Anolis sagrei: one gene and its partner. The protein of the gene in region 2 purifies or fractionates together with the protein of the main gene of each other region. This does not show direct contact. Links are inferred from orthologs where the notes say so. Each region holds a gene or a part of one and is shown on either strand. Other genes may lie near its edges.

Evidence for each region.
Region 1: the proteins of SDHAF1 (region 2) and SDHB purify together in Homo sapiens (co-immunoprecipitation; 3 studies listed by BioGRID and IntAct, with this or other methods). This does not show direct contact. The link is inferred for Anolis sagrei from reciprocal best matches to the Homo sapiens genes SDHAF1 and SDHB.

What each region holds. Positions count from the first base shown.
Region 1 is NC_090033.1:7,878,276-7,894,096, reverse strand, and holds the start of SDHB (succinate dehydrogenase [ubiquinone] iron-sulfur subunit, mitochondrial), read left to right. Parts: upstream 1-9,743; 5' UTR 9,744-9,777; coding exon 9,778-9,914; intron 9,915-13,288; coding exon 13,289-13,374; intron 13,375-15,821. Other genes in the region: MIIP (migration and invasion-inhibitory protein), read right to left, coding at 1,047-1,176, 1,266-1,318, 1,502-1,613, 3,324-3,426, 3,509-3,712, 4,991-5,101. UniProt on the Homo sapiens protein: Iron-sulfur protein (IP) subunit of the succinate dehydrogenase complex (mitochondrial respiratory chain complex II), responsible for transferring electrons from succinate to ubiquinone (coenzyme Q).
Region 2 is NC_090035.1:77,670,416-77,686,191, forward strand, and holds SDHAF1 (succinate dehydrogenase assembly factor 1, mitochondrial), read right to left. Parts: upstream 8,837-15,776; 5' UTR 8,726-8,836; intron 7,262-8,725; 5' UTR 7,212-7,261; coding exon 6,957-7,211; 3' UTR 5,075-6,956; downstream 1-5,074. Other genes in the region: tubulin-folding cofactor B, read right to left, coding at 14,958-15,075.

The DNA of each region.
Region 1 (15,821 bases), on a different chromosome or scaffold from region 2:
CAGACATGCAATATTTAAAATATATTAATATGTTATATTTATTTGAAATATAATAATGGAAATGTAATATAGACATGCAATACCGAAAATAGATTAAAATAATTTTATATTTATTTGTGGAGGAGAAATAATATATTTTTAGTATTGCATATTTATGAGAATATTATAATATGTTATAAATGTGCAATGTTAAAATATATTAATATTTTTTATATTGTGGAGGGAAAATAATGTATTTTTAATATTTAATATTTATAACATATTAATTGTGGAGGAAAATAACATATTTGTAATATTACAATATAACATATTTGTAATAATATATTTGTAATATTGCATATTTAAAACAATAGTATAAATATGCAATATTAAAAATATACTTATATAGTTCTGTATTTATTTGTGGAGGAAATATATATATATATATATATATGCAATATTAAAATATAAATATATTTCAAATATTGCATATGTATAACAATAATATAATATATTATACATATGCAATATTAAAATATATTGATATAATTTTATAATTATTTGTGGAGGGAAGATAATATTTTTAAATTTTTAATATTTAAAATAATAATATAATATGTTATAAATATACAATATTAAAATATATTAATATAAATTTATATTTATTTGTGGAGGGAAAATAATATATTTAAAAGGTTAAATATTTATAACATATTAATTGTGGAAGAGAAATAATATATTTTCATATTGCAGATTTATAACAATGATATAGTATGTCATAAATATGCCTTAAAATATATTAATATAATTTGATATTTATTTGTGGAGGGAACATAATGTATTTTTAATATTGCAGATTTACAACATATTATATTTATTTGTGGAGGCAAAATATTTAATATTGCATATTTACAACATATTATATTTATTTGTGGAGGCAAAATATTTAATATTGCATATTTACAACATATTATATTTATATTATATTTATTTATATATATGTGTGTGTGTATATATATATATATATATATGGTAGACAAATAATACAATATTTTTGGTAGCTTCACCTAACGAAAGCGGGTTCCACGAGGGTTTCAGGAGGCTTCCGGGCGCGGGGGATTCTGCACACAGCACACGCCGGTTCCGGATCCATCGGTTCTGGAAAGAGCCGCTTGTTTACCCGGTAGCGGAAGACGCCTAGAACCGAAATACATGGGGAGGAAAAGTCAAGTCATTCAATGATGGTCAGTAGAACTCTAGATCCCATTTTCAGAACACAATCATACATTGATGGGACGTGGGATCCGTGTCGCGACTCGAGGTCTCGAAGCTCTCCAACCTGCAGAGAGGAAAGAGGGAGGTAAACAAACAAACAAACAACAGGGCTTCGAGATTTTGGGTCTTTCCCTTGTCTGTTGTTCACTACTGTCAGCCCAAGTTTGAGTCCGACATTCAAAACAGATCAAGAAAAATGGCTTGTTCAATTTTGGACTGAAATCCGGAGTGGATCCGGGGCGCTCACCACGAGTCCCGGTCGCCGAGGCAGTCCTTCCGGTTCACCTGCCGGAACTCCTGGAGTTCGGAGAAGTACTGATCCGGTTTCTCCGTGACGGAAGAATCCATATCAAGGAGTCCTAGAGAGCGTAAGGGAGGAGACCATCATCCCCAAAGGAGAGGGAGACGTAGGAAGAGGCAGATCATACATTAAAAATAATTAAACAATATTATTATTACTACTAGTAGTAGTAAAAGTAGTAGTATCCATGCTTTGGTAGTAATAGAAATATTATGTATTATTATTATTATGGAGATGTAGGAAGAGGCGGATCATACATTAAAAATAATTAAACAATATTATTATTACTACTAGCAGTAGTAAAAGTAGTAGTATCCATGCTTTGGTAGTAATAGAAATATTATGTATTATTATTATTATTATTATTATGGAGACGTAGGAAGAGGCGGATCATACATTAAAAATAATTTAAAAATATTATTATTACTAGTAGTAGTAGTAAAAGTAGTAGTATCCATGCTTCGGTAGTAATAGAAATATTATGTATTATTATTATTATTATTATTATGGAGACGTAGGAAGAGGCGGATCATACATTAAAAATAATTTAAAAATATTATTATTACTAGTAGTAGTAGTAGTAGAAGTAGTAGTAGTATCCATGCTTTGGTAGTAATAGAAATATTATGTATTATTATTATTATTATGGAGACGTAGGAAGAGGCGGATCATACATTAAAAATAATTTTAAAATTTTATTATTACTACTAATAGTAGTAAAAGTAGTAGTATCCATGCTTCGGTAGTAATAGAAATATTATGTATTATTATGTATTATTATTATTATTATTATTATTATGGAGACGTAGGAAGAGGCGGATCATACATTAAAAATAATTTAAAAATATTATTATTACTACTACTAGTAGTAAAAGTAGTAGTATCCATGCTTCGGTAGTAATAGAAATATTATGTATTATTATGTATTATTATTATTATTATTATTATGGAGACGTAGGAAGAGGCGGATCATACATTAAAAATAATTTAAAAATATTATTACTACTACTAGTAGTAGTAAAAGTAGTAGTATCCATGCTTTGATAGAAATATTATGTATTATTATTATTATTATGGAGATGTAGGAAGAGGCGGATCATACATTAAAAATAATTTTAAAATATTATTATTACTACTACTACTAGTAGTAAAAGTAGTAGTATCCATGCTTTGATAGAAATATTATGTATTATTATTATTATTATGGAGACGTAGGAAGAGGCGGATCATACATTAAAAATAATTTAAAAATATTATTATTACTACTAGTAGTAGTAAAAGTAGTAGTAGCCATGCTTTGATAGAAATATTATGTATTATTATTATTATGGAGACGTAGGAAGAGGCGGATCATACATTAAAAATAATTTAAAAATATTATTACTACTACTAATAGTAGTAAAAGTAGTAGGAGTATCCATGCTTTGGTAGTAATAGAAATATTATGTATTATTATTATTATTATGGAGACGTAGGAAGAGGCGGATCATACATTAAAATAATTTAAAAATATTATTACTACTAGTAGTAGTAAAAGTAGTAGTATCCATGCTTTGATAGAAATATTATGTATTATTATTATTATTATTATTATGGAGACGTAGGAAGAGGCGGATCATACATTAAAAATAATTTAAAAATATTATTATTATTATTAGTAGTAGTAGAAGTAGTAGTAGTATCCATGCTTCAGTAGTAATAGAATTATTATTATCTATCTATTATTATTATTTTCCCAAGGTGACCCAGACATGACCTCCCACCTGACCTGCGATCCAGTCGTATCCGAGGAAAGGCCGGGTGGACCTTACTCCTAGGGGGGTCGCATGTTCTTCCGGGTCGGACACAAAGGTCACGCGAGGGGCTTCATTCTAGGAAAGGAAAAGGATGCTTCTGAATGGCGGGGTCCTATAAACGTACCCCGGAGGACCCAGGAAATGCCTAGAGGCGCACCTTCGGCTTCTCTTTCTGATGCGGCGTCAGCAGGATGGGCTTGGGCGCCGGCGGCATCTGAACTCTCGCCCTCGGGCGCCTTTCCTCGACCGCCACTTCCTCCTCTTTCCTGAGGCAGATATTTTCCACTTCCTGGGAAGGTCCGGAAGCTTCCGACGACGGCACCCAAACTATAGATTGTGGACACCGGTCTCGGCTCTCCTTCTGGCAACAAAAGCAAAACCATTATTGGACTGGATGACCTCTGAAGGTGCCTTCCAACCTGATGATCCTCTAGGACTAGATGACCTTCAGAGGCACCTTCCAGTTCTATGATTGGACTAGATGACCTTTGTGGGTCCCTTCTAATTCTACGATTGGACTAGATGACCTTTAGAGTTGCCTTCTATATCTATGACTGGACTCGATGACATTTGGGGTCCCTTCCATGTCCAGACTAGATGACCTTCAGAGGTCCCTTCCAGTTCTATGATTGGACTAGATGACCTTTGTGGGTCCCTTCTAATTCTACAATCAGACTAGATGACCTTTGTGGGTTGCCTTCTATGTCTATGACTGGACTAGATGACCTTTGGGGTCCCTCCCATCTCTATGTTTAGACTAGATGACCTTTGGGGTTCCCTTCCAACCCTATGATTGGACTATATGATGTTTGGAGATCCCTACCGTCTCTAGAATTGGACTAGATGACCTTCAGGTTCCCTTCCAACCCCATGATTGGACTAGATGACTTTTGGGGTCACTTTCATCTCTGTACTCAGAGTAAATGACCTTTGGAGGGGGGGGGTCCAATCCATCTCTGTGATCAGACTAGATGACCTTTGGAGATCCCTTCCATCTCTATGATTGAACTAGATAGCCATTGAGGCCCCTTTCAACCCTACAATTGGACTATATGACCATTGGGGTTCCCTTCCACGCTGTAATCAGACTAGATGATCTTTGGGGTCCCCTTCCATGATCAAACTAGATGATCTTTGGGGTCACTTCTATCTGTATGACTGGACTAGATGACCTTTGGAGATCCCTACCATCTCTAGAATTGGACAAGATGGCCTTCAGGTTCCCTTATAACCCCATGATTGGACTAGATGACCTTTACAGGTCCCTTCCATCTCTAAGATAGGGCTAGATGACTTTTGGGGTCCCTTCCAACCCCAAGATTGGACTAGATGAGTTTTGGGGTCACTTTCATCTCTGTACTCAGAGTAGATGACCTTTGGGGGTCCCTTCCAGCCCTACAATTTGACTAGATGACCATTGGGGTTCCCTTCCACTGCTGTAATCAGACTAGATGATCTTTGGGGTCACCTTCCACCTCTATGATCGGACTAGATGACCTTAGGGGTCCCTTCCAACGCTATGATCGGACTAGATGATCTTTGGAGGTCCCATCTCTACGATTGGACTAGATGAGCCTTGGGGACCCTTCCAACCCTATGATCGGACTGGAGGACCTTTGGGGTCCCCTTCCTATCATACCTCCTTCTGCAGGGTTGTGGACGATGGGACTCGCTTCCCTAAGGCTTCTTGGTTCGCTTTCAGCTTCTGCAAGAGATCCTGGTTCAAGAGGCGAAGCTTCTCCAAGTCCATCTTCCGGCTTCCAGAAATAGTAAGATTATTATTATTATTATTATTATTATTATTGATTAAGTAAGTTGGTTACTATTATCTATATTTATATATATATCTATCTATCTATATAATAAAAGTCAAAGTTTGTATGCGGAGGACAAAAGTGTGGTGGGAGGAGTATGTGCCAGCGTTCTGATTGGCTGCCGCTGTGGTGCTATTTGCATATGGTCTCTGATTGGCCAGCTTCAATAGGAGCCCCTGGTGGAGAAAAGAAACGGGGACATGAGAAGGAAATTTGCATATGGTCTCTGATTGGCCAGCCCCAATTCCAAGATTCCGAGATGACAAAGAGAGGGGCGGAGTCAGAAAATTACCACTACAGACCAAACTTGGCACACAGAGCCCGCAAGACCCACTCGACATCCTACTGCAGTTTGGAGGAGGATGAACCATGGATGATGGGACTTGCAGTCCCATCACTCACATTCTGAGACCGCTGTTAACCTCATCCAATGACTGATCAGGACCAAACTTGGCACATAGACCTCTCATGACCCACTTTACGTCCCGGTGTGGTTTGGTGGACCATGGATTATGGGACTTGCAGTACCTTTGCTCAATTCCTGAGACCACTGCAACCCTCATCCAATTACCGATAAAGACCAAACTTGGCACACTGAGTCTCCATGACACACTCTACATCCTGGTGCAGTTTAAAGGAGGATGCACCATGGACGATGGGAGTTGCAATACCTGCACTCCCTTCCTAAGACCATTACAACTGCCAACAATGATGGATCAGGACCACAATTTACACAGAGAACCCGCATGACCCACTCTACATCCTGGCGCGGTTTGGAAGAATTTGACAATGGATGATGGGACTTGCAGTCACTTCACTCACTTCCTGAGACCACTGAGATCCTCGCCAATGACTGATCAAGACCAAACTTGGCACATAGTGTCCCCATGACCCACTCTACATCCTGGTGCACTTTCAAGGAGGACAGACCATGGATGATAGGACTTCAAGTACCTCCACTCCCTTCCCAAGACTGCTGCAACCCTCATCTAATGTCCGATCAAATCCAAACTTGGCACACAGAGCCCCCATGACCCACTCTACATCCCACTGCGGTTTGGAGTAGGGCATACCATGGATGATGGGACTTGAAGTCCCTTCACTCACATTCTGAGACCTCTGCAAACCTCATCCAATGACTGATCAAGACCAAACTTGGCACATAGACCTCTCATGACGCACTTTATGTCCTGGTGTCATTTGGAAAAAAATGGAGATGGATGATGGGATTTGCAGTAACCTCACTCATTTTCTGAGACCCTCGCCAATGACTAATCAAGACCAAACTTGGCACACACTTTTGAGGAGGACAGACCATGGATGATGGAACTTCAAGTACCTCCACTCACTTCCCAAGGATACTATAACCCTCATTAATGACCGATCAAGACCAAACTTGGCACACAGAACCCCAATGACCCACTGTACACCCTAGTGCAGTTTGGAGGACAGACCATGGATGATGGGACTTAAAGTACCTCCACTCCACTGCAACCCACATCTAATGACCGATCAAGACCAAACTTGGCACACAGAACCCCAATGACCCACTGTACACCCTGGTGCAGTTTGGAGGACAGACCATGGATGATGGGACTTAAAGTACCTCCACTCCACTGCAACCCACATCTAATGACCGATCAAGACCAAACTTGGCACACACAGCCCCCATGACCCACCCTGCATCCCGGTGCTGTTTGAAGGATGGACGATGGATGATGGGACTTGCAGTACCTTCACTCACTTCCTGAAACCACAACAACCCTCATCCAAATACCAATAAAGACCAAACTTGACACAGAGAGCCCCCATGCCCAACTCAACATTCTGGTGAGGTTTGGGGGAAAACAGACTATGGATGATGGGACTTTAAGTACCTTAACTCACTTTCTGAGACCACTTTGACCCTCATCCAATGACTGATCAAGACCAAACTTGGCACACAGAGTCCCCATGACCCACTCTATATCCTGGTGCAGTTTGGAGGAGGATGGACAATGGATGATGGGACTCGCTGTACCTTCACTAACTTCCTGAGACCACTGTGAGCCATATAAATAACTGATAAAGACCAACCCGGGTCCCCAAGCTATATATAAATTAGACACACAGCAACATAAAACAAATGGATATTTAAATTAAATATATTTGTGCCTGTACATATAATAGTTGGAAGAGTGGAATAGGAATATAAATAGCAATAAGGAGTGTTTCAATGCAAACCTGAAAGCACAACAGAAGCCCAGGACTTGAACGTTGGTTTCCCTGTGACGTAAGCAACGCCTCGCGCCCTGATTGGCTAGTTCCCGCCTGAGGTTTCCTTTTCACATTCCACGCCTCTTAAAGGGGCCGCAACCTCTTTCCTTGCCCACGTGGGGTGCCTTATAGGACAATATGGTAGTAATGGAAATAGAATAATATCTACACCATAACATAACTAATGTTATTAATCATTAATAACATTCAGGTCTCGGCGGTGACCAGGGGAGCATTTGCACAGCTAAAGCTTGTGCGCCAGCTGCGCCCGTACCTTGGGAAGTCTGACTTGGCCACGGTAGTCCACGCTCTGGTTACATCCCGTTTAGACTACTGCAACGCTCTCTACGTGGGGTTGCCTTTGAAGACAGCTCGGAAGCTCCAACTAGTCCAACGCTCGGCAGCCATGATTTTAACAGGAGCGGAGCACAGGGAGCATACAACCCCCCTGTTGCGCCAACTCCACTGGCTACCGATCTGCTACCGGGCTGAATTCAAAGTGCTGGCGTTGGCCTTTAAAGCCCTAAACGGTTCCGGCCCAAGCTACCTATCTGACCGCATCTCTGCCTATGAACCCACCAGGACTTTGAGATCTTCCGGGGAGACCCTGCTCTCGATCCCACCTGCTTCTCAAGCTCGGCTGGCGGGGACGAGAGATAGGGCCTTCTCGGTGGTGGCTCCTCGGCTGTGGAACGCCCTTCCTACGGACATTAGACTAGCACCATCTCTAATGGTATTCCGCAAAAAGGTGAAGACCTGGATGTTTGTGCAGGCGTTTGAGTAATTTAGTGCAATCTGGTAATGGAACATAGGAATGGAACAATGGACGACGAATCTGGACTACACTTGGATGATGAGAAGATTGGGTACGGTTGTTTTTTGTAATAATTGTGCATTGTAATTGCTTATTGGTAATTTATGGATAATGTGTTAAGTCAATTGTTATATGTTGTATGGAACCACTGCTGTTTCTACTGTTTTTACTGTTTGTGAACCGCCGTGAGTCACCAATATTATTAATAGCATTATTAATAAATAGAATATACTAATATTATTAATATTTATATTTTATTTATTTACTTTGCTTATATACCGCTGTATCTCAAGCCCGAAGGCGACTCACAATAACATTACTAATAAATATAATATACTAATATTATTAATATTTATATTATACCAATATTATTAATAACATTATTAATAACTATAATATACTAATATATTAATAGTATTAATACTTATATTATATTAATATAATTGATAATATTTATAAATATATATACTAATATTATTGTTAATATTAAATATCATATACTGATGTTATTATTGATAATTCTTCTTCTTCTTCTTCTTCTTCTTCTGTTCTTCTGTAATAATACTATTTTTAATAATACATATAATATACTAATATTATTATACTGCTATAATATAATACTAATATGATTAATACTAATATTATTGTTAATATTAATAATAAATATAATATACTGATGTTATTATTGATAATAAATATAATGTAATAATACTATTATTAATAATACATATAATATACTAATATTATTATAATATAACATTAATATGATTAATAATATTAAATTTTTCCTACTATTATAGAACAAAAGTACTAATAGTGTTAAGAGCATAATGATAATATCTATCTATCTATCTATATATATTATCATTTAATATAATAATATATAATATATAATTATATATAATATAATAATATGATAATACTTTTTGTTATTATTTCTCTTTTTGGGGGGGCTGGACTGGATGACCTTTGGGATTCCCTCCCTAGAGAAGCCTGGGAGCGAAGGGAGGGAGAACCCAAGATGGCCGCCAGCTGAGGCTTCTTGCCCCTTCCCAAGATGGCCGCCGGCTGAAGTTCAATATAGCTGCGGACTGAGAAGGGCCCTTCCCAAGATGGCCGCCGGCTGAAGTTCAATATAGCTGCGGACTGAGAAGGGCCCTTCCCAAGATGGACGCCGGCTGAAGTTCAATATAGCTGCGGACTGAGAAGGGCCCTTCCCAAGATGGCCGCCGGCTGAAGTTCAATATAGCTGCGGACTGAGAAGGGCCCTTCCCAAGATGGCCGCCGGCTGAAGTTCAATACAGCTGCGGACTGAGAAGTGCCCTTCCCAAGATGGCCGCCGGCTGAAGTTCAATATAGCTGCGGACTGAGAAGGGCCCTACCCAAGATGGCCGCCGGCTGAAGTTCTATATAGTTGCGGACTGAGGAACGGCCCTTTCCAAGATGGCCGCCTTTTCTAGGACGCGTGCTCCCTTTTTCTCCTTCCCCGCCCTTACCGGAAGTGGTTACCACGGACCCTTCCGGAGAGAAGGAAAGGACAAGATGGCGGCGGTGACCGCGGCGGTGAGGGCGAGCGCGGCGACGGCGGCGCGGATCAAGCGGTTCGCGGTGTACCGGTGGGACCCGGACAAGCGCGGAGAGAAGCCCCGGATGCAGACCTACGAGGTTGACCTCAACAAGTGAGTCCTCGCAGCGGGAGGGCCCGAAAAGAGGCGCGCACCGCCTGACTCCCTGACCAACTTGAGTGCTTTGAGTAGGCCTTGAGTTGTCATATGCGTCTTCCGGGCTGCTTGACCCTCTCCTGACGTTTCCCCCAGGCAGGAAGCAGCCAGGCTTTGAAGCTGCGAGGCCATTCAGCGCCAATCAAGCTGGCCAGTGAGCTATTCTTGCTTATTACAAGACAAACTGAAATTATACAATTATACATTATTAAATTAAATTATTAAATTAATTTAAATTATTAAATTATACAAACTGAAATTAAATCCAGACAAGACAGAGGTACTCCTGGTCAGTCGCAAGGCCGAACAGGGCATAGGGTTACAGCCTGTGTTGGATGGGGTCGCACTCCCCTTGAAGGCGCAGGTTCGCAGCTTGGGTGTGATCCTGGATTCATCGTTGAGCCTGGATCCCCAGGTTTCAGCGGTGACCAGGGGAGCATTTGCACAGCTTAGGCTCGTGCGCCAGCTGCGCCCGTACCTTGGGAAGTCTGACTTGGCCACGGTGGTGCACGCTCTGGTCACATCCTGCCTCGACTACTGCAACGCTCTCTACGTGGGGCTGCCCTTGAAGACGGCCCGGAAGCTTCAGCTAGTCCAGCGCGCGGCAGCCATGTTACTAACTGGAGCGGGACGCAGGGAGCATACAACGCCCTTGTTGTTCCAGCTCCACTGGCTGCCGATCTGCTACCGGGCCCAATTTAAGGTGCTGGTGTTATCCTACAAAGCCCTAAACGGTTCCGGCCCAAAATACCTTTCGGACCGCATCTCGGCCTATGAGCCCACGAGGACTTTGAGATCGTCTGGGGAGGCCCTTCTCTCGATCCCGCCTGCTTCACAGGCACGTCTGGCGGGGACGAGAGAGAGGGCCTTCTCGGTGGTGGCCCCCCGGCTGTGGAACACCCTCCCTGTTGACATCAGACAGGCGCCCTCCCTTATGTCCTTCCTTAAGAGCCTGAAGACATGGCTATTCGAGAAGGCATTTAACTGAGTGCTACAGTAACTGGAATGACAACTGGAACGGTATATGGACTACGAGATTGGTTATGATTCCACGATAAGATGGAGCGGATTATTTTTAGTATAATTAGATGATTGTGCGTTAGTGATATGTTGGTTTTTTGTCGTCTTGGCTTTATTGTAAATTGTCTTTTATATGTTGTACACCGCCGTGAGTCACCCTAGGGCTGAGAACGGCGGTTAATAAATGCAGCAAATAAATAAATAAATAAATAAATAAATATTTATTTACTGTGCTTATAGACTGCTGTTCTCAGCCCAGGGGCAACTCAAATTGAAATTGAATCCAGACAAGACAGAGGTCCTACTGGTCAGTCGTAAGGCCGAACAGGGAATAGGGTTACAGCCTGTGTTAGACGGGGTTACACTCCCCCTGAAGACGCAGGTTCGCAGCTTGGGAGTGATCCTGGACTCATCGCTGAGCCTGGAACCCCAGGTCTCGGCGGTGGCCGGGAGAGCTTTTGCACAATTAAAACTTGTGCGCCAGCTGCGCCCGTACCTTGGGAAGTCGGATCTGGCCACGGTGGTCCACGCTCTTGTCACATCCCGGTTGGATTACTGCAACGCACTCTACGTGGGGTTGCCTTTGAAGACTGCTCGGAAACTACAACTAGTCCAGTGAGAAGCAACCAGATTGCTCACCGGAGCGACGTACAGGGAGCACACCACCCCCCTGTTACATCAGTTCCACGGGCTGCCGATCCAATTCCGAGCATAATTCAAAGTGCTGGTTTTAACCTACAAAACCCTATATGGTTCCGGCCCAGTGTATTTGTCCGAACGGATCTCCCTCTACATCCCATCTCGAAATTTAAGATCATCCGGGGAGGCCCTGCTCTCGACTCCGCCACTGTCACAAGTGAGGTTGGCGGGGACGAGGAGCAGGGCCTTCTCAGTGGTGGCCCCTCACCTGTGGAACTCACTCCCCGGGGAAATTAGATCAGCGACCTCCCTTCAGACGTTCAGGAAAAAACTGAAGACCTGGATATGGGACCAAGCTTTTGGACATGCTGGCAGCTAAAGGAAGATCCGACGACAAACATGGACGAATTGAATGGAATGGATACACGGAACTCTGAACACTGAGCATGAGATTGTTTTGCTATTTTATTATGTACTAATGTTTTTAACCTGTTAACTGTCTAAATTGTTGTACGTATTGTTTGCTTATTGATTCAGGCATCGAATTGTGCCGTTGTTTGTAAGCCGCCCTGAGTCCCCCCTCGGGGGTGAGAAAGGCGGGGTATAAGTAATTGAAATAAATAAATATCAAAACCATCGTCATCAACAACATCAAAAATCTCAATATCAGTAATACAAAACTACAAAAAGCCATTCGCGTCGTCTCATCGTTAAACCACAATCCAGTATCGTTTTCCGTTGTTCCATTCCTGTCGTCATTACCAAATTATTGCACTTCTTGTTCGAACGCCTTCTCGAACAGCCAAGTCTTTAGTTTCTTGCGGAATGTCATCAGGGAGGGCGCCAGTCTGATTTCCGCGGGAAGGGTGTTCCACAGCTGAGGAGCCACCACCAAGAAGGCCCTGTCTCTCGTCCCCGCCAGGCATGCCTGTGAGGCAGGCGGGATCGAGAGCAGGGCTTCCCCGGACGATCTCAAAGTCCTGGTGGGCTCATAGGCCGAGATGCGGTCAGATAGGTATCTTGGGCCGGAACCGTTTAGGGCAGGGGTCAGGAACCTTCGGCCCTCCAGGTGTGGTGGACTTCAACTCCCACAATTCCTTGGGCCAAGGTAAGCCTTTGGGGCGAATGCCGAGCCTCAAGGAATTGTGGGAGTTGAAGTCCACCACACCTGGAGGGCCGAAGGTTCCCCATGCCTGGTTTAGGGCTTTATAGGCCAACGCCAGCACCTTGAATTGAGCCCGGTAGCAAATCGGCAGCCAGTGGAGCTGGAACAACAAGGGCGTTGTATGCTCCCTGCGTCCCGCTCCTGTTAGTAACATGGCTGCTGCACGCTTATTCAATTTGCTTATGCAATGGATGACGAATCTGGAACATGTTTTTGATGACAAGACGACAGTGAATGGGTTGTGTAATGTGTTAGGTTGTTAACTGTTTCTATACCGTAGCACTAAATTTTTGCTGTTCGTATTTGTTGTGAACCGCTGTGAGTCGCCTTCGGGCTGAGAACAGCGGTATATAAGTAAGGTAAATAAATAAATAAAATAAATATTATGTTGTCGCTTGCTGTAAGCCGCCCCGAGTTCCCTTTGGGTGGGCAGTGGGAGATCAATAACGCTGTATTATTACTATTATTGTTATTATTATGACTGTTGTTATTCTTGCTTTCCCGGCAGATGCGGCCCGATGGTGCTGGACGCCCTGATCAAGATCAAGAACGAAATAGACCCCACGCTCACCTTCCGGCGCTCCTGCAGGGAAGGTCGCGATCGCCCTTGAGTAGCAGTAGCAGTATTATTATTATTATTATTATTATTATTGGCCAGTCTGTGGTCCTATGTTGTTGCTGTTGTTGTTATTACATGGCTGTAATTATCCAATAGTTTTATTATGACTTTGATCTATATTCCAGTATTATTATTATTATTATTATTATTATTATTATTGGTCTATTGATGATCCTATACTATTATTATTATTATTATTGGTCAGTCTGTGGTATTATTATTATTATTATTATTATTATTATTATTATTATTGGTCTGCCTATGATCCTATGTTATTACTATTGTTGTTGGTCTGTCTATGGTCCTATAGTATTATTATTATTATTATTATTATTATTATTATTATTATTATTGGTCTGCCCATGACCATATATAATTATTGTTGTTGGTCTGTCTATGGTCCTATAGTATTATTATTATTACTATTATTACTATTATTATTATTGGTCTACCTATGATCCATCATCATCATCATCATCATTGTTGTTGTTGTTGTTATTGGTCTGCCTATAATCCTATATTACTATTGTTGTTGTTGGTCTGTCTATGGTCCTATATTATTATTATTATTATTATTATTGGTCTGCCCATGACCATATATAATTATTGTTGTTGTTGGTCTGTCTATGGTCCTATAGTATTATTATTATTACTATTATTATTATTACTATTATTGGTCTACCTATGATCCATCATCATCATCATCATCGTTGTTGTTGTTGTTGTTGTTGTTGTTATTGGTCTGCCTATGATCCTATAATATTATTGTTGTTGTTGGTCTGTCTATGGTCCTATATTATTATTATTATTATTATTATTATTATTATTATTATTACTAATATAGGACCATACTACTACTACTACATGGCTGTGATGATCCTATAGTATTATTATTATTATACTTATCTATGCTCTATTATTATTATTATTATTATTATTACATGGCTGTAATTATCCAATAGTATTATTATGACATTGATCTATATTCCAGCATCATCATTATGAATATTATTAATATTGGTCTATCAGTGATCCTATATTATTATTATTATTATTGGTCAGTCTGTGGTACAATATTATTATTATTATTACTACTACTACTACTACATGGTTGTGATGATCCTATACTATTATTAATATATTGATCTATGCTCTATTGTTATTATTTTTATTTTTATTATTGACCAGTCTGTGGTCCTATGTTGTTGTTGTTGTTGTTACATGACTGTAATCATCCAATTGTATTATTATTATTATATTGATCTATGTTCCAGCATCATCATCATGATCATCATCATTATTATTGGTCTATCGATGATCCTATACTGTTATTATTATTGGTCAGTCTGTGATACTATATTATTATTATTATTGTTATTATTATTACTACATGACTGTGATGATCCTATAGTACTACTGATAGAGAGAGCTCATCCTCCTCTCCCCGGATTCGAACCTGCAACCTATCTAACAACAACAACAACAACAACAACAACAACAACAACAATGGATCATAGGTAGACCAATAATAATAATAATAATAATAATAATATAGGACCATAGACAGACCAACAACAACAATAATAACATAGGATCATAGGCAGACCAATAACAACAACAACAATGATGATGATGATGGATCATAGGTAGACCAATAATAATAATAATAATAATAATAATACTATAGGACCATAGACAGACCAACAACAATAATAATTATATATGGTCATGGGCAGACCAATAATAATAATAATAATAATAATAATAATAATAATAATAATATAGGACCATAGACAGACCAACAACAATAGTAATAACATAGGATCATGGGCAGACCAATAATAATAATAATAATAATAATAATAATAATAATAATGGATCACAGGTAGACCAATAATAATATAGGACCATAGACAGACCAACAACAATAATAATACTATAGGATCATGGACAGACCAGTAATAATAATAATAATAACAACAACAATAATAATGATGGATCATAGGTAGACCAATAATAATAATAATAATATGAGACCATAGACAGACCAACAACAACAACAATAATATATGATCATGGGCAGACCAATAATAATAACAACAACAACAACAACAATGATGATGGATCCTAGGTAGACCAATAATAATAATAATATAGGACCATATACAGACCAACAACAATAATAATATAGGATCATGGGCAGACCAATAATAATAATAATAATAATAATAATAATAATAATGGATCATAGGTAGACCAATTATTATTATTATTGGTTTGTCTACCTACCTCAGGGGGTTGAGAAGGGCAGAGTACAAATATACAAAATATAAATAAATAAATAAATAAATAAAGGAACAGGTCCCAACTCAGGCCAATTGGGCCGTGTGGACAGGAAGGGTCCGACCTGGCTGAGCGCCCT
Region 2 (15,776 bases):
TCCCAACCCTACTATATGCCTGCGAGACATGGACAGTCTACAGATGTCACATGCAACTCCTGGAACGATTCCATCAGTGCTGCCTCCGGAAAATCCTGCAAATCTCTTAGGAAGACAAGCGGACAAACGTCAGCATGCTGGAAGAAGCAAAGACCAGCAGCGTTGAAGCAATGGTCCTCTGGCATCAACTCCGCTGGACCGACCACGTTGTCCGGATGCCCGACCACCGTCACCCAAAGCAGTTGCTCTATTCCGAACTCAAGAACGGAAAACAGAATGTTGGTGGGCAGGAAAAGAGATTTAAAAATGGGCTCAAAGCCAACCTTAAAAATTCTGGAATAAACACTGAGAACTGGGAAGCCCTGGTCTTTGAGCGGTCCAGTTGGCGGTCAGCTGTGACCAGCAGTGCTGCAGAATTTGAAGAGGCACGAATGGAGAGTGAAAGACAGAAACATGCTAAGAGGAAGGCACGTCAAGCCAACCCCGACCGGGACCGCCTTCCCTCACTGCGGGAGATGATGCAGATCAAGAATAGGGCTCCACAGTCACCTACAGATCCACCCCCAGGATACCACTCTTAGAGGACCATCATCCTTGGACTATGAGGGATCACCTAAGTAAATAAGTAATGATTGAGGGTAGAGTAGCCACGCCTGAAGCCTTCTTGTTCCCTGTTGATTTCCACATCTTGAGATATTCTTTGTAGCAGAATCCTTGTGAACAGTTTATATAGCTGAGAGAGGAATGTAATAGGATGAAAGTTGATAAGGTTTTGTGTGTCCCCATTCTTCATTAGACGTATGGTTTCAGACGTTGTCCAATCTTTAGGTAAGATGGCAAGTATCTATTCTCATTCCGTCCTTTCACGCAGCACCACACCAGAGTCCAGTGATCCAATATAAGAATGTTTATTAAAGAAATAATATAAAAAGGGGAAAAGGGACAAATCTACCAAAGTCAGTACAGATATAAAATGTAGTTCTCAAAAGAAGCAGTAGCAGTATTCCAAAAATGCCAGGATAGAACACAACGCCAAAGAAATCCAAAAACACAGAATCACTCCAAAGATGTATCCATGAACATGAAAACAGGAACTTCTCCAAGGTAAATTCTCCAAAGAAACATAGGTTTAAAACAGGAACATGAAGCAGGGATCTTGACAGTACAGGAACCACGAACTTGGAATCATGAACAGGAGACTGAAACCCTATAGCAACGTTGTCTCCTCTGAAAGGCCTGAAACCAAACCACTTAATTTAAGTCCTCTAATGACATCATGCCTGATGCATCTGGACTTCAGGGTCTTATCTCGGATCCTTTGAGAATGTCTAGTTTGCCGGCTTTTCACTCCCTGCGTTCTCAGGTCTAATCTGTTTTCCCTTGAAAACTCACCATATTCCCGAATCCTTTTCTCAAGGGAACTGGGCATTTATCTGGCTTCATTTTACGTATGGCTGCATCTACCTTACTCAATAAGGGATTTATTCCGTCTCAACATGGGGTTTGGCTTTGACTACCAGCACTTTGGAATTGTATACTTGAGAAATCGCATCTCCTCCTACCAGCTTACATGAGCCCTGAGATAATTGATAGAGGTCCTTCTCTCGTCCCGTTGCTGTCACAAGCATGGTTGGGGAGTACAAGAGAGAGGTCCTTCTCGGTGGTGGCCCCGCGGTTCTGGAACTCCCTCTCCAAGGAGGTGTGATTGGCCCCTTCTCTACTGGCCCTCCGTGCACAGGTTAAAACCTTCCTATGGAAGCAGGCTTTTCCCGATAACCCATGATACACTGCAACAGGTAAGGATAATAGTGAAGGTTGCCTTGGACCTGACAATGGATACATGGTCTAGACATACACAGAGTTTAGGATTTTTAATATAACTAGCTGTCCCCTGCCACGTGTTGCTGTGGCCCTCATGGGGGTTCTGTGTGGGAGGTTTGGCCCAATTCTATCATTGGTGGGGTGCAGAATGCTCTGTGATTGTAGGTGAACTATAAATCCCAGCAACTACAACTCCCAAATGTCAAGATTCTATTTCCCCCAAACTCCACCAGTGTTCACATTTGGGCATATTGAGTATTCGTGTAGAGTTTGGTCCGGATCCATCATTGTTTGAGTCCACAGTGATCTCTGATGTAGGTGAACTACAACTCCAAAACCAAAGGACACTGCCCACCAAACCCTTCCAGTATTTTCTATCGGTCATGGGAGAACTGTGTGCCAAGTTTGGTTCAATTCCATCGTTGGTGGGGTTCACAATGCTCTTTGATTGTAGGTGAACTATAAATCCCAGCAACTACAACTCCCAAATGACAAAATCAATTTTTTTTGAGTGAAGGACATACATTGGGTTGTTTAGGTGTCTTGTGTCCAAATTTGGTGTCAATTCGTCCAGTGTTTTTTGAGTTCTGTTAATCCCACAAACGAACATTACATTTTTATTTATATCGATTTCCTATAGGTCTATCTTGTCTAGACTGATTGTTGGCCTATGCTTTGAAGTGTTTCCATTGAACAAACAATTGCAGGGCGTTCCGATGCATGTGGGAGTTGCAGATTTCAGCTACTTCCAGATATTGATCACTACCAATACTTGGAATTATATCAATATCATTTAATGATATCAATATCAATAAAGGTAGGGGAGGAAGCTTGGTCAGGTGCCATGAATGTGATTTCAGCTCAGGCTTCAAGCAGTTTCGCTGGGGTCCTTTCTACACTGCCATAAAATCCAGATTATCAAGATAGATAATCAATATTCTTTGCTTTGAACTGGATGACGTGTCTACACTGCCATACAATCCAGTCCAAAGCAGTTGACTTGGATTATATGGCCGTGTAGAAGGCTTCTGCAGCCACGTCGTCTGTCCCTTTGCCCGTTGGACTACACTACCAGGTCACGTGTGATCCAGGACCAAGTGATCCCAGTAGATCTCATAGTTCCTCTCATCTGTCCACTGTACCTCTAGTAGATTTTAGAAAAATGGCTTATAGTGGAAACAAGGATTGGCGAGAAAACTTCAGTGGAGACCTCTTTCCCCCTCATAATGACTCTTCCAGGGGTGGATTCCCCTTCCGAGGGGGAGATTCCCCTCACTTCCTATTGTCTCACCCCTGTTCTTAACTAGGAGTCGTTTGCAAGTTAGATATTTGTAACTCAGGGACGGCCTGGATATGTATAACGGGTGTTAGGGTGCATGGGAAAACCACTTGTTAGAAAACAGTAGCTTATCATGGAATGGCACAACACGACCTTGTTAGCTATCCATCTTGGCTTATCTTGTCTGGACTGATTGATGGCTTTGTTTTGAAGTGTTTCCAATTAACAAACAATTGCAGATCACTCCGATGCATATAGAAATCGAAGTTTTCAATGACTTCCAGGTACTGATCACTATCAATACTTGGAATGATATCAATACCATTAAAGGTGTAGGTGGAGGGTTGGTAGGATGCCATGAACGTGATTCCAGGTCAGGCTTTAAGCAGTTTGGCTGGGGGCCCTTCTACACTGCTACATAATCCAGATTATCAAGGTAGATAATCCACATTCGCTACTTTCAACTGGATGATATGACTACGCTGCCATATAATCCACAATTACTAACAAGGCCAGGGAAATTCACTCCTGGAAGAGTTATCATGGAGGAAAGGTATCTCCACTGAAGCTTTCTCACCAATTATTGTGAGGAGCCTCAGGTGGCAGTGGGTTAAACCCCTGTGCCGGCAGGACTGAAGACCGACAGGTCGCAGGTTCGAATTTGGGGAGAGGCGGATGAGCTCCCTCTATCAGCTCCAGCTCCTCATACGGGGACATGAGAGAGGCCACAAGGATGATAAAAACATCAAATCATCCGGGCGTCCCCTGGGCAACGTCCTTGCAGACGGCCAATTCTCTCACACCAGAAACGACTTGCAGTTTCTCAAGTCGCTCCTGATACCAAAAAAAAAACACAACAATTATTGTTTTCACTACAAGCCAAATTTTCCAAAATTCAATTATCACAGGGACAGGGGCACAGACACCCATTGAGGGCTATCTATCTATGTGGCAGGTACTGGCTTGTTCAATAGACTCTCCTATACAGTTCCATTTTGGCGGGAAACCTTAGCATCGAACGGTTGTGTTGTTAAAAGTGTGATGGTTGGTCAATGCGACTTAAACAACGTGCAGTCATTGAATTCTTGACAGCAGAAGGTATCACCCCAATAAATAATTCCCTTCAAAGTGATTGGGACAGTTATGTTAATTTTGTTGTTATTCATGTCCCACATTTATCACGAGACTCAAAACAGCTGAATATGTTGCATGCATTGTTTTTGTTTGGACTTGAACCCAAACACGTTCAAGTTGCTTCCAAGGAAAATGCAGGTTTCACCCCAAGGCCTGAAGGTATCACAGAACGCCATTGTGTTGACTTCCCAGGAAAAAAAGTAAACAGGAATGCAACCAATGCCTCGAAGGCGTGTTTTATATGTGTTGCAATGTTACCTTTCATTGTTCCAGAAGGAGGAGTCAATAAAGACACGGATCATGCAACGAAACGCCTTTTCTTTGGCAATTTAATTCTTGTCCCTTGCAGCCAAAGGATTGCTTTGAAACAAACACATTCGGCGGAGTGAGAAAAGGAAATAACACACAGAACGCCTAAACTGTCAGTGCTCAGAACAGCATCTCATGGAGTTCTTCAATAATAATAACAATTATAATAATCTGGTTAGCCTATCATGTAATGGTCTTTAATAATAATAAGTTTAATAATAATAATAATAATAATAATAATTATTATTATTATTATTATTAGAAACACAACAAGATGAGTCCACAGCAGACACTCCGCTGGCTGTTGTATTGGATCACACGTTGGACACTTCCCATGTGTCTAGGACTGTGTGATGTATCGGCAAATAATGCATGCAGATCCCAGTAAGGTGGCCTTTTGCAGCTGACAGATGGTAACTTTCTTAGCGCCGATTGTGTTTAAGTGCAGGCCAATGTCTTGAAGCACTGCATCCAGTGTGCCAATCACCACTGGGACCCCCTTGACTGGCTTGTGCCAGAGTCTTTGCAGTTTGATCTTTAAATCCTTGTATCGTGTCAGCTTTTCCAGTTGTTTCTCTTCAATCCTGCTGTCACCTGGGATTGCGACATTGACAATCCATACTTTGTTTTTTATTACGATTGTGAGGTCAGGAGTATTGTGCTCCAGAACTATTACTACTACTACTATTACTTTTATTATTATTATAATTAATGGATGGATGACATCCTTGAAGTGACTGGATTGACCTTGAAGGAGCTGGGGGTGGTGACGGCCGACAGGGAGCTCTGGCGTGGGCAGGTCCATGAGGTCATGAAGAGTTGGAAACGACTGAACATATAGACAACATTATTATTATTATTATTATTATTGGAAAAGCTGACACAATATGAGGATTTAAAGATCGAACTGTAAAGACTCTGGCACAAGCCAGTCAAGGTAGTCCCAGTGGTGATCAGCACACTGGGTGCAGTGCCTAAAGACCTTGGCCTGCACTTAAATACAATCGGCGCTGACAAGATTACCATCTTCCAGCTGCAAAAGGCCACCCTACGTGGATCTGCATGCATTATTCGCTGATACATTACACAGTCCTAGACACTTGGGAAGTGTCCGACATGTGATCCAATACAACAGCCAGGAGTGATCCTGTCTGCTGTGGACTCATCTTGTTGTGTTTCAAATAATAATAATAATAACAATAATAATAATATGTCCGACGTGTGATCTAATACAACAACCAGCAGAGTGATCTTGTTTGTTGTATACTAATCTTGTTGTGTTTCAAATAATAATAATAATAATAATAATAATAATAATAATGGAATCAGAAGGTTAAATAAACCCAGAAACAGGGCTAACATTGGAAACATAAAATGTGCATTGGCCAATGTAATTTCTATTTTTTATTGGCTTCTCTATTATTATTATTATTATTATCATTATTATTATCATTATTATTATTATTATTATTATTATTATTATTATTATTATTATTTTAGAAACACAACAAGATGAGTCCACAGCAGACACTCTGCTGGCTATTGTATTGGATCACACGTTGGACACTTCCCAAGTGTCTAGGAATTATTATTATTATTATTATTATTATTATTATGCAAAAGGATGCATTCATGGAACTGGTTTAAAGCAGCTTAACATCTACACTGCAGACTGAATGCAGTTTAACACCTTTTTAACTGCCACGGCAAGGCAATGAAAGCCCTGGGAGTTGCAGTTTTACAAAGAATGCAAACTACAGATCAAATTATTTCTATAGCAGCTAACGTGGTACCAAACGTCATTCATTCTACAGTGTAGAGATGCATCCAAGGTCTGCTCGGGGTTCTCTTATGACCTTGGAAGGATTAAAGAAACGGAACCAAATCATTGTTTCTCCACGAGATTCTGCAGATAGTAAGGTGCCAGTTATTCCTCCATTCAGTTAACTGAAAAACACAAAGTCAGCGGACCTGATGGGATCCCTGTTGAAATCTTTAAAGGTGGTAGACCTGAGCTGACACAACACCTCCAGCAGCTCAATCATTGTTTCTTCACGGGTTCTGCAGATAGCGAGTTGCCAGTTATTCCTCCATTCAATCATCTGAAAAATAACAAAGTCAACGGACCTGATGGGATCCCTGTTGAGATCTTTAAAGGTGGTGGACCTGAGCCTTCACAACAACTCCAGCAGCTCAAACATTGTTTCTTCATGGGTTCTGCAGAGAGCGAGTTGCCCGTTATTCCTCCATTCAATCACCTGAAAAATAACAAAGTCAGCGGACCTGATGGGATCCCTGTTGAAATCTTTAAAGGTGGTGGACCTGAGCTGACACAACAACTCCAGCAGCTCATTAAAAAAGTGTGGACGATCGAGAAAATCCCAGCAGGCTTCATCATCACCCGTCTCTGGTGTCATCTGTCTCCCTCCTCCCTGGTTTTGACGAAGGCCCCCATCTGCTTGGTATGGGTGTTCTGGAGCTGCTCCAGCTGCCTCTGTCCACGGCGGAGAAGGTACTCTACGAGCAGGACCTCTGTCCGTGGGATCTGTGCGTTCTGCCGGAACTCGGCTCGGATCTGCGGCAGGAAGCCCGGCTTGCCTTTCCCGGCCCGAAGGAAGCTGCGGTACAAGGACAGCACCTGCCTCTGGAGCTTACTGTGGCGGCCCATGGAGCAGCTCCTCCCAGTTGCAAGGATGGAGTGCTCCAGGTAAGCAAAGCCTGAGGAACAAAGACAAAGTGTCAGGATAAGAGTGAGGGGAATTAAATAGGCCAACCTGTATGTGTCGTTCTACTTTTAATACGTTTTGGAGATCTCAAATTGCATTGTTGTTAGGTTCTTGTGGGTCTTTTCGGGCTATAGAGCCATGTTCTAGAGGCATTTCTCCTGACGTTTCGCCTGCATCTATGGCAAGCATCGTCAGAGGTTGTGAGGTCTGTTGGAAGTAGGAAAAATGGGTTATATATCTGTGGAATGGCTGGGGTGGGGCAAGGAGCTCTTCCCTGCTGCAGTTAGGTGTGAATGTTTAGCTGATCACCTTCATTAGCATTTGAAGGCCTGCCTGAGCCTGGGAAAATCCGTTGCTGGGAGGTGCTAAACAACAGAGAGGAAAAAACCAGGCACAGATTAACACCTCCCAGCAACGGATTTTCCCAGGCTCAGGCAGGCCTTCAAATGCTAATGAAGGTGATCAGCTAAACATTCACACCTAACTGCAGTAGGAAAGAGCTCCTTGCCCCACCCCAGCCATTCCACAGATATATAACCCATTTTTCCTACTTCCAACAGACCTCACAACCTCTGAGGATGCTTGCCATAGATGCAGGCGAAACGTCAGGAGAGAATGCCTCTAGAACATGCCTCTATAGCCCGAAAAAAACCCACAAGAACCTAGTGATTCCAGCCATGAAAGCCTTCGACAATGCATTGTTGTTGTTTTTAATGTTGCGAATCACTTTGTATCTCCAATAATAATATAATAGCCCTTTTATTATTTGAATATCCGCCCTACAATAAGTAATAGCAGCCCTATAATAACAATAGAAGCTCTTTCATTATTTTAATAGCAGCCCTATAATAATAATAATAATAATAACAATAAGTCTCTTTATTATTTTAATAGCAACCCAATAATAGTAATAATAATATAATAGCCCTTTTATTAATTGAATACCAGTCCTACAATAATAATAAGTAGTATTAGCATCTCTGTAATAATAATAGAAGCTCTTTTATCACTTTAATTTTAATAGCAGCCTAATAATAATAATAATCCTTTTATGTTAATACCAGCCTAATAATAATAATAACTCTTTTATTATGTTAATACTAGCCTAAGAATAATAATTAGTAGCCCTCCTATTATTTTAATAGAGGCCTAATAATAATAACTTTTATTATGCTAATACTAGCCTAATAATACTAATTAGTAGCCCTTCTACTATTTTAATAGCAGCCTAATAATAATAATAATAATAGCCCAGGGATGTAGTAAATCCATATTGGCTGGCCTTCAGGATTTAGGGGGAAAGGGGTCAAGGGCAGGTCCATCATGCAACCTCATGGCAACCCCACCAGTCCCAGAGCTGGTCCTGCCCGTCCCTTCTCTTTGCCGGACTCCCACCCAGGCTGGCCCCCTTTGGGACCCCCTCCTGCCCTTCCCACCGGGCTCCCTTCTCGCTCACTCCTTCTCTCTTCCGGATTTCAGCTCCTAGGCAGGCCCAAGCCCGCCATTGCAGAAACCTTGGCGCGCCATCTGAGCCTCCTGCGCGCTTCCCATTGGCTCCCTGGCCCTAGAGGGGGCGTTCCCCAACTCTTGTCGCTCCGCCCATTCAAAGCACGTGTAGGCTTGGAGGCCCCGCCTATTTGGAATCATAGAATCCTAGAGTTGGAAGAGTCCAATCCCATTCTGCCAAGAAGCAGGACAATTGGGTTGTTGTAGGTTTTTCCGGGCTATATGGCCATGTTCTAGAGGCATTTTCTCCTGACATTTCGCCTGCATCTATGGCAAGCATCCTCAGAGGTGTATTGGAAGTAGGAAAATGGGTTTATATATCTGTGAAAAGACCAGGGTGGGACAAAGGACTCTTGTCTGCTGGAGCTAGGTGTGAATGTTTCAACTGACCACCTTGATTAGCATTTGATTGCCTGGCAGTGCCTGGAGCAAACTTTGTGTTGAGAGGTGATTAGCAGGACAATTGCGTTCAAAGCACCCCCGACAGATGGCCATCCAGCCTCTGTTTCAAAGCCTCCACCACACTCCGGGGCAGAGAGTTCCACTGCTGAACAGCTCTCAGAGTCAGGAGGTGATTAGCAGGACAATTGCGTTCAAAGCACCCCCGACAGATGGCCATCCAGCCTCTGTTTCAAAGCCTCCACCACACTCCGGGGCAGAGAGTTCCACTGTTGAACAGCTCTCACAAAGTTCTTCCTAATGTTCAGGTGGAATCTCCTTTCGTGTAGTTTGAAGACATTGTTCCATTGTGTCCTAGCCTCCAGGGCCTCCCTCCTCCCTATGACTTCCTCTCACATCTTGATCCATGGCCCTCATCATGTCTCCTTTCAGCCTTCTCTTCTGAAGTCTAAACATGCCCAGCTCTCTTTAAGCCGCTCCTCATAGGGCTTGTTCTCCAGATCCGTGACCATTTGAGTCACCCTCCTCTGGACACATTCCAGCTTGTCAACATCTCTCTTGAATTGTGGTGCCCAGAATTGGACACAATATTCCAGGTGTGGTCTAACCAAAGCGGAATCGAGCATGGGGAGCAGGACTTCCCTGGATCTAGACACTATGCTCCTCTTGATGCAGGCCAACATCCCATTGGCTTTTTTTGCCACTACATCACATTGTTGGCTCATAAGGCATTGAAGGCATTGTTCCATTGCATCCTAGTCTCTGTTGTTCATTCTTTCATTCGTCTCCGACTCTTCGTGACCTCATGGACCAGCCCACGCCAGAGCTCCCTGTCGGCCGTCACCACCCCCAGCTCCCTCAAGGTCAGTCCAGTCACTTCAAGGTCTCTAGGGCAGTAGAAAACAAGCTTGCTCCCTCCTCCCTATGACTTCGCCTCATATCCAGCCTCTGTTTCAAAGCCTCCACCACACTCCGGGGCAGAGAGTTCCACTGCTGAACAACTCTCAGAGTCAGGAAGTTCTTCCTCATGTTCAGGTGGAATCTCCTTTCCTCTATTTTGAAGCCATTGTTCCATTGTGTCCTAGTCTCCAGGGAAACAGAAAACAAGCTTGCTCCCTCCTCCCTATGACTTCCCCTCACATATTTATACATGGCCCTCATCATGTCTCCTCTCAGCCTTCTCTTCTTCAGGCATTTTGGGTGAACTGCCTAATAATTTCACAAACCCCGATGACATCTAGGCATTTGATAATGCAACAATGTTAACAGTTCTAATCACAGAGGAGGAGGGTTTTTGGTGGGAGGATTCCACCAAATGATTTTAGTCGCTCTCCTCTGGACACATTCCAGCTTTGTCAACATCTCCCTTCAATTGTGGTGTCCAGAATTGGATGCAGTGTGATTCCAGGCAGAATAGAGCATGACTTCCCTGGTTCTGGACACTCGACTCCTATTGACGCAGGCCAAAATCTGTCTTCTCCTGCACAGAAACCCTGAGGGCACCTAGACGGTCCTAACAATGGGTTGTTGTAGATTTTTTCGGCCTCTATGGCCATGTTCTAGAGGCATTCTCTCCTGACATTTCGCCTGCATCTATGGCAAGCATCCTCAGAGGTAGTGAGGACTGTTGGAACTAGGAAAATTGGGTTTATATATCTGTGGAAAGACCAGAGTGGGACAAAGAACTCTTGTCTGCTGGAGCTGGGTGTGAATGTCTCAACTGACCACCTTGATTAGCATTTGATGGCCTGGCAGTGCCTGGAGCAATCTTTTGTTGAGAGGTGATTAATGTTCCTGATTGTTTCCTCTCTGTTGTTTTGCTGTTTTAATTTTAGAGTTTTTTTAATACTGGTAGCCAGATTTTGTTCATTTCCATGGTTTCCTCCATTCTGTTGAAATTGTCCACATACTTGTGGAATTCAATGGTTTCTCTGTGTAGCCTGACATGGTGGTTGTGAGAGTGGTCCTCACAATATTGCTGGACATAGGAGATTGGCTTTACATAATGTGATAGGCTTTATGGCTCCTAAACTATAGAATTAATGCAGTTTGAACTACCTTGGCTTTTTAAGTTGGCTTTTAAGATAATTTCAGGGGGTCCTGGGGTAATAATAATAATAATAATAATAATGAACAACTTTGGGTTGCTGTGAGTTTTCCAGGCTGCCTAGCCATGTTCCAGAAGCATTCTCTCCTGACCTTTCGCCCAGTTCTACGGCAGGCATCCTCAAAAGTTGTGAGGTCTGTCGGAAACTACAACTCCCATCATTCCATAGCTTTGAGCCAAGGCAGTTCCAAATGGGATCATAGAAGACCTAGAGCATGAAAGGACCCACAAAAGCCACCTTTCTGCCAGGCAGGAAGATACCATCTGATCCCTCCTAGCAGATGGCCATCCAGCCTCTGCTTAAAAACCTCCAGAGGGCAATCCAACACACTCCCAGGCAACAGCATATTCTAGCATGCATACATACATACAGTGGGGGGGGGGGAGTATTTAGTTAGATAGGAATTGTACAAGTTCTCCCACTTAAAAAGATGAGATATTGTCTCTCATAGTTGAGGTCTACCTAAGATGTCAATCACAGGCCTCTCTCATATTTTTAAGTGGGAGAACTTGTACAATTCCTATCTGACTAAATACTTTTTCCCCCACTGTACACACACACACATATCTAAAAGGTAAAGGTTTCCCTTTGCTGTTAAGTCCAGTCATGTCCGACTCTAGGGGTTGGTGTTCATCTCCATTTCTAAGTCGAAGAGCCAGCATTGTCCACAGTCACCTCCAAGGTCATGTGGCCAGCATGACTATCTGGAGGTCCTGTTACCTTCCCGCAGAAGTGGCATCTATTGATCTACTCACATCTGCATGTATACGAACCCACACAATATCTTTGTTCATCTGGAGAGGCCCTGCTCTTGATCCCGCCAGCATCGCAGGCGCGATTGGTGGGGATGAGAGGGCCTTTTCGGTGGTGGCCCCTCGACTCTGGAACTCACTCCCTAAGGACATCAGACAGGCCCCAACTCTGGCAGTTTTCAGGAGGAGTTTGAAGACGTGGTTGTTCCAGTGTGCCTTCCCGGATTAATGATCCCATAGCACTTTGTCCCGCTAAAGCACTTTACATTTTTTAGGTCTGCCCATATGTCTCTCCACAAACACCACTATCACCTGTTCGTCCATGTTCAGCACTATTTACAATTTTAATTTTACATTTGGCCTTCCCATAGTTTTAATTGTATGTTGTCTTATTGATAATGTTATATGTTTATGTTTTATTTTAATTGCTTATATTGTTGTGATTATTGCTTGTATTGTGTGTTCGGGCTCGGCCTCATGTAAGCTGCACTGAGTCCCTTGGGGAGATGGTAGTGTTGTTAAATAAAGTGTTGATATTATTATTATGTTTTCATACTGCTAGGTTGGCAGAAGCTGGGGCAACAGTGGGAGCTCACCCGCTCCCTGGATTCGGACCGTCGGCCTTTTGGTCAGCAAGTTCCACAACTCAGTGGTTTAACCAAAACCTTTGGATGGCATAGGGAAGGGTTTACATGCCTGTGGTGTTTGTTTTGCTATCTGTGCCCTTCAGCTTTCACTGCCTGAACATCAAACAAAAAGTGGGTGCTAGAAACAATATCATACAAAAGCTGACTGGCACAACCTGGAGATCACAGCCAGACACAGTGAAGACATCTCCCCTTTGCTACTCTGCTGCTGAGTACGCATGCCCAGAGTGGAACACATCTCACCACGCTAAAACAGTAGATGTGGCTCTTAATGAGACATGCCGCATTATCACGGGATGTCTGCGCCCTCCACCACTGGAGAAATTACACTGTCTAGCCCAGGGGTCCTCAACCTGGGGTCCCCAGATGTTTTTGGCCTACAACTCCCAGAAATCCCTGCCAGTTTACCAGCTGTTAGGATTTCTGGGAGTTGAAGGCCAAAAACATCTGAGGACCCCAGGTTGAGAATCACTGGTCTAGCTGGTATCGCACCACCTGACATCCGCCGGGAAGTAGCAGCCAATAGTGAAAGGACAAGACAGAGACATCTCCAGCTCATCCCGTTTGGATATCAGCCAGCACGTCAACGACTTAAATCAAGACATAGTTTTCTAAGATCTACAGAGGCACTCTCTGGAACACCTCAGCAAGCTAGAGTCCAAAAGTGGCAGGCTCAAACCCAGAACCTCAACCAATGGCTGATACCAAATGAGAGACTCCCCCCTGGGCACACAGAGGACTGAGCGACTTGGAAGGCGCTGAACAGAGTGCGCTCTGTCACCACGAGATGCAGAGCCAACCTCAAGAAATGGGGCTACAAAGTGGAATCCATGACATGCGAGTGCGGAGAAGAGCAAACCACTGACCACCTGCTGCAATGCAACCTGAGCCCTGCCACATGCACAATGGAGGACCTTCTTGCGGCAACACCAGAGGCAGGCTCGTAGCCAGGATTTCGATTCGGGGGGGGGGGGGGGGGGCTGAGTTTGTTTCGGGGGGGGGGGGGGCTGAGTCTGAAAGAGGGTCTACGCTAGCAAACCTTTTGTATCGTTACCCCAATACCCCCATGCATATGGGATATATTGAGTATGGTGATCAGATCATGATATGAATAAACATAACAGTTTAAATAATGCACCAGTAAGTCCTTTTCGCGAACCACCATGAGAATTTCGGAGGGGGCTGAAGCCCCTCAAGCCCCCCCCCCCCCCCCGGCTACATGCCTGACCAGAGGCACTCCAAGTGGCCAGATACTGGTCAAAGGATATTTAATCAACTACCAAGCTTGCAAACTTTGTGTTTTGTCTGTTTGTTTGTTTTGTTAAAAATGTAATACAACTGTCTGCTTGCTCCTGACACAATAATAAATACCTCCAAGGTTATGTGGCCAGCATGACTGCATGGAGCGCCGTTACCTTCCCACCAGAGCGGTCCCTATTGATCTACTCACATTTGCGTGTTTTCGAACTGCTAGGTTGGCAAAAGCTAGAGCTAACAGTGGGAGCTCATGCTGCTCCTCGGATTCGAACCTGCAACCCTTTGATCATCAAGTTCAGCAGCTCAACGGTTTAACCCACTGCATCTACAAACATTTGTAGATGTTTGTAACTCTGGGACTGCCTGCAATGTGACCTCCCTCCCCAATTTTAGGACAATGCATGCCGAAGGTCAAATGAAATAAAACTCTCCCACACATTAATTCTTGTCTGGAATGTTTCTCCCCCCATTCAAAACATTTTTAATTTGTAATCATCACGTAGCATCTGCCAACAACACACACACTCACAAAAGTATCACAGAAGGGAAAAGAAAAGGCATGGTGTTGGAAATGTCCGTCTGGAATTGTTATATTTTTAAGGGCAGGGAAAGGCTTCGTACCCCCATCCGCTTCAAGGGCCACTTTCGGAAACGAGGGCCCTTGGCACACAAAAAAACCCACAAACAAAACCCTTCTCCATCTTCAGGGTTTCGACTACAAGGCCAACGCTCACATTCTCTATGTTACGGAACTGGTATGGATCAGGACACACTCAAAGGGATGCGGCACCTTTGCCGAATGAAACAAGAGGCAACTAGGGAAAAAGGGGGGAAAAAACAACCGACACGAGTCAAAAGGACACACAAGTGGCTTCCGCATCTTCTCTCTCCGGCTGGCCCCACATTCTCCCGGGTGGCGTCGGGACGCAGCCGGGCTTCGCAGCAGCAACCAGGACAAGTCCCACAACGGAGCCGGCAGCCGCCTTCTCCTCCGCTTCCGTTTCCGCCCGTCCTTCCTGTCACATCTCATCGTCCAGGCCGTAATCCTCTTCCGGGAAGTCCCCCACCACCACGTGCTGTGGCTTCACAAAGGCCCCGTATTTTGGCTGGCACTCAAAGTACCGCTTTCCACCGACGCTGCCAAGAGGAAGGGAAATTGCAGTGAAACTCTCACACCATCAGGTTTCTGCAATATCTTTTGTGTTGAAAGGCACTTTTTCTCATTTTAAGATCTATTGCATTACGTTTAACTTTGCATAAAAGTATCATTTTCTCCATCTTTCTATATATATAAAAATGCTCTGCATAATGAGTACCTTAAAAACAAAAGAACCAATGAACGAAATCACACCAAATTTGGCAACAAAACATCTCACTACGCCATCACTCAAAAAATTATGATCTTGTCATTTGGGAATTGTAGTTGTTGGGATTTATAGTTCACCTACAATCAAAGAGCATTCTGAACTCCAACAATGATGGAATTGAACCAACCTTGGCACACAGGACTCCCATGACCAACAAAAATACTAGCAGCGTTTGGTGGGCATTGACCTTGAGTTTGGGAGTTGTAGTTCACCTACATCCAGAGGGCACTGTGGACTCAAATAATGATGGATCTGGACCAAACTTGGCACGAATATTATATATGCCCAAATATGAACACAGATGGGGTTTGGGGGAAATAGACCTTGGCATTTGGGAGCTGTAGTTACTGGGATTTATAGTTCACCTCCAATCAAATACCATTCTGAATGAACACCACGAATTACAGAATTGGGGCAAACTTCCCACACTGAACCCTCATGACCAACAGAAAACACTTAAGGCCATCCAAT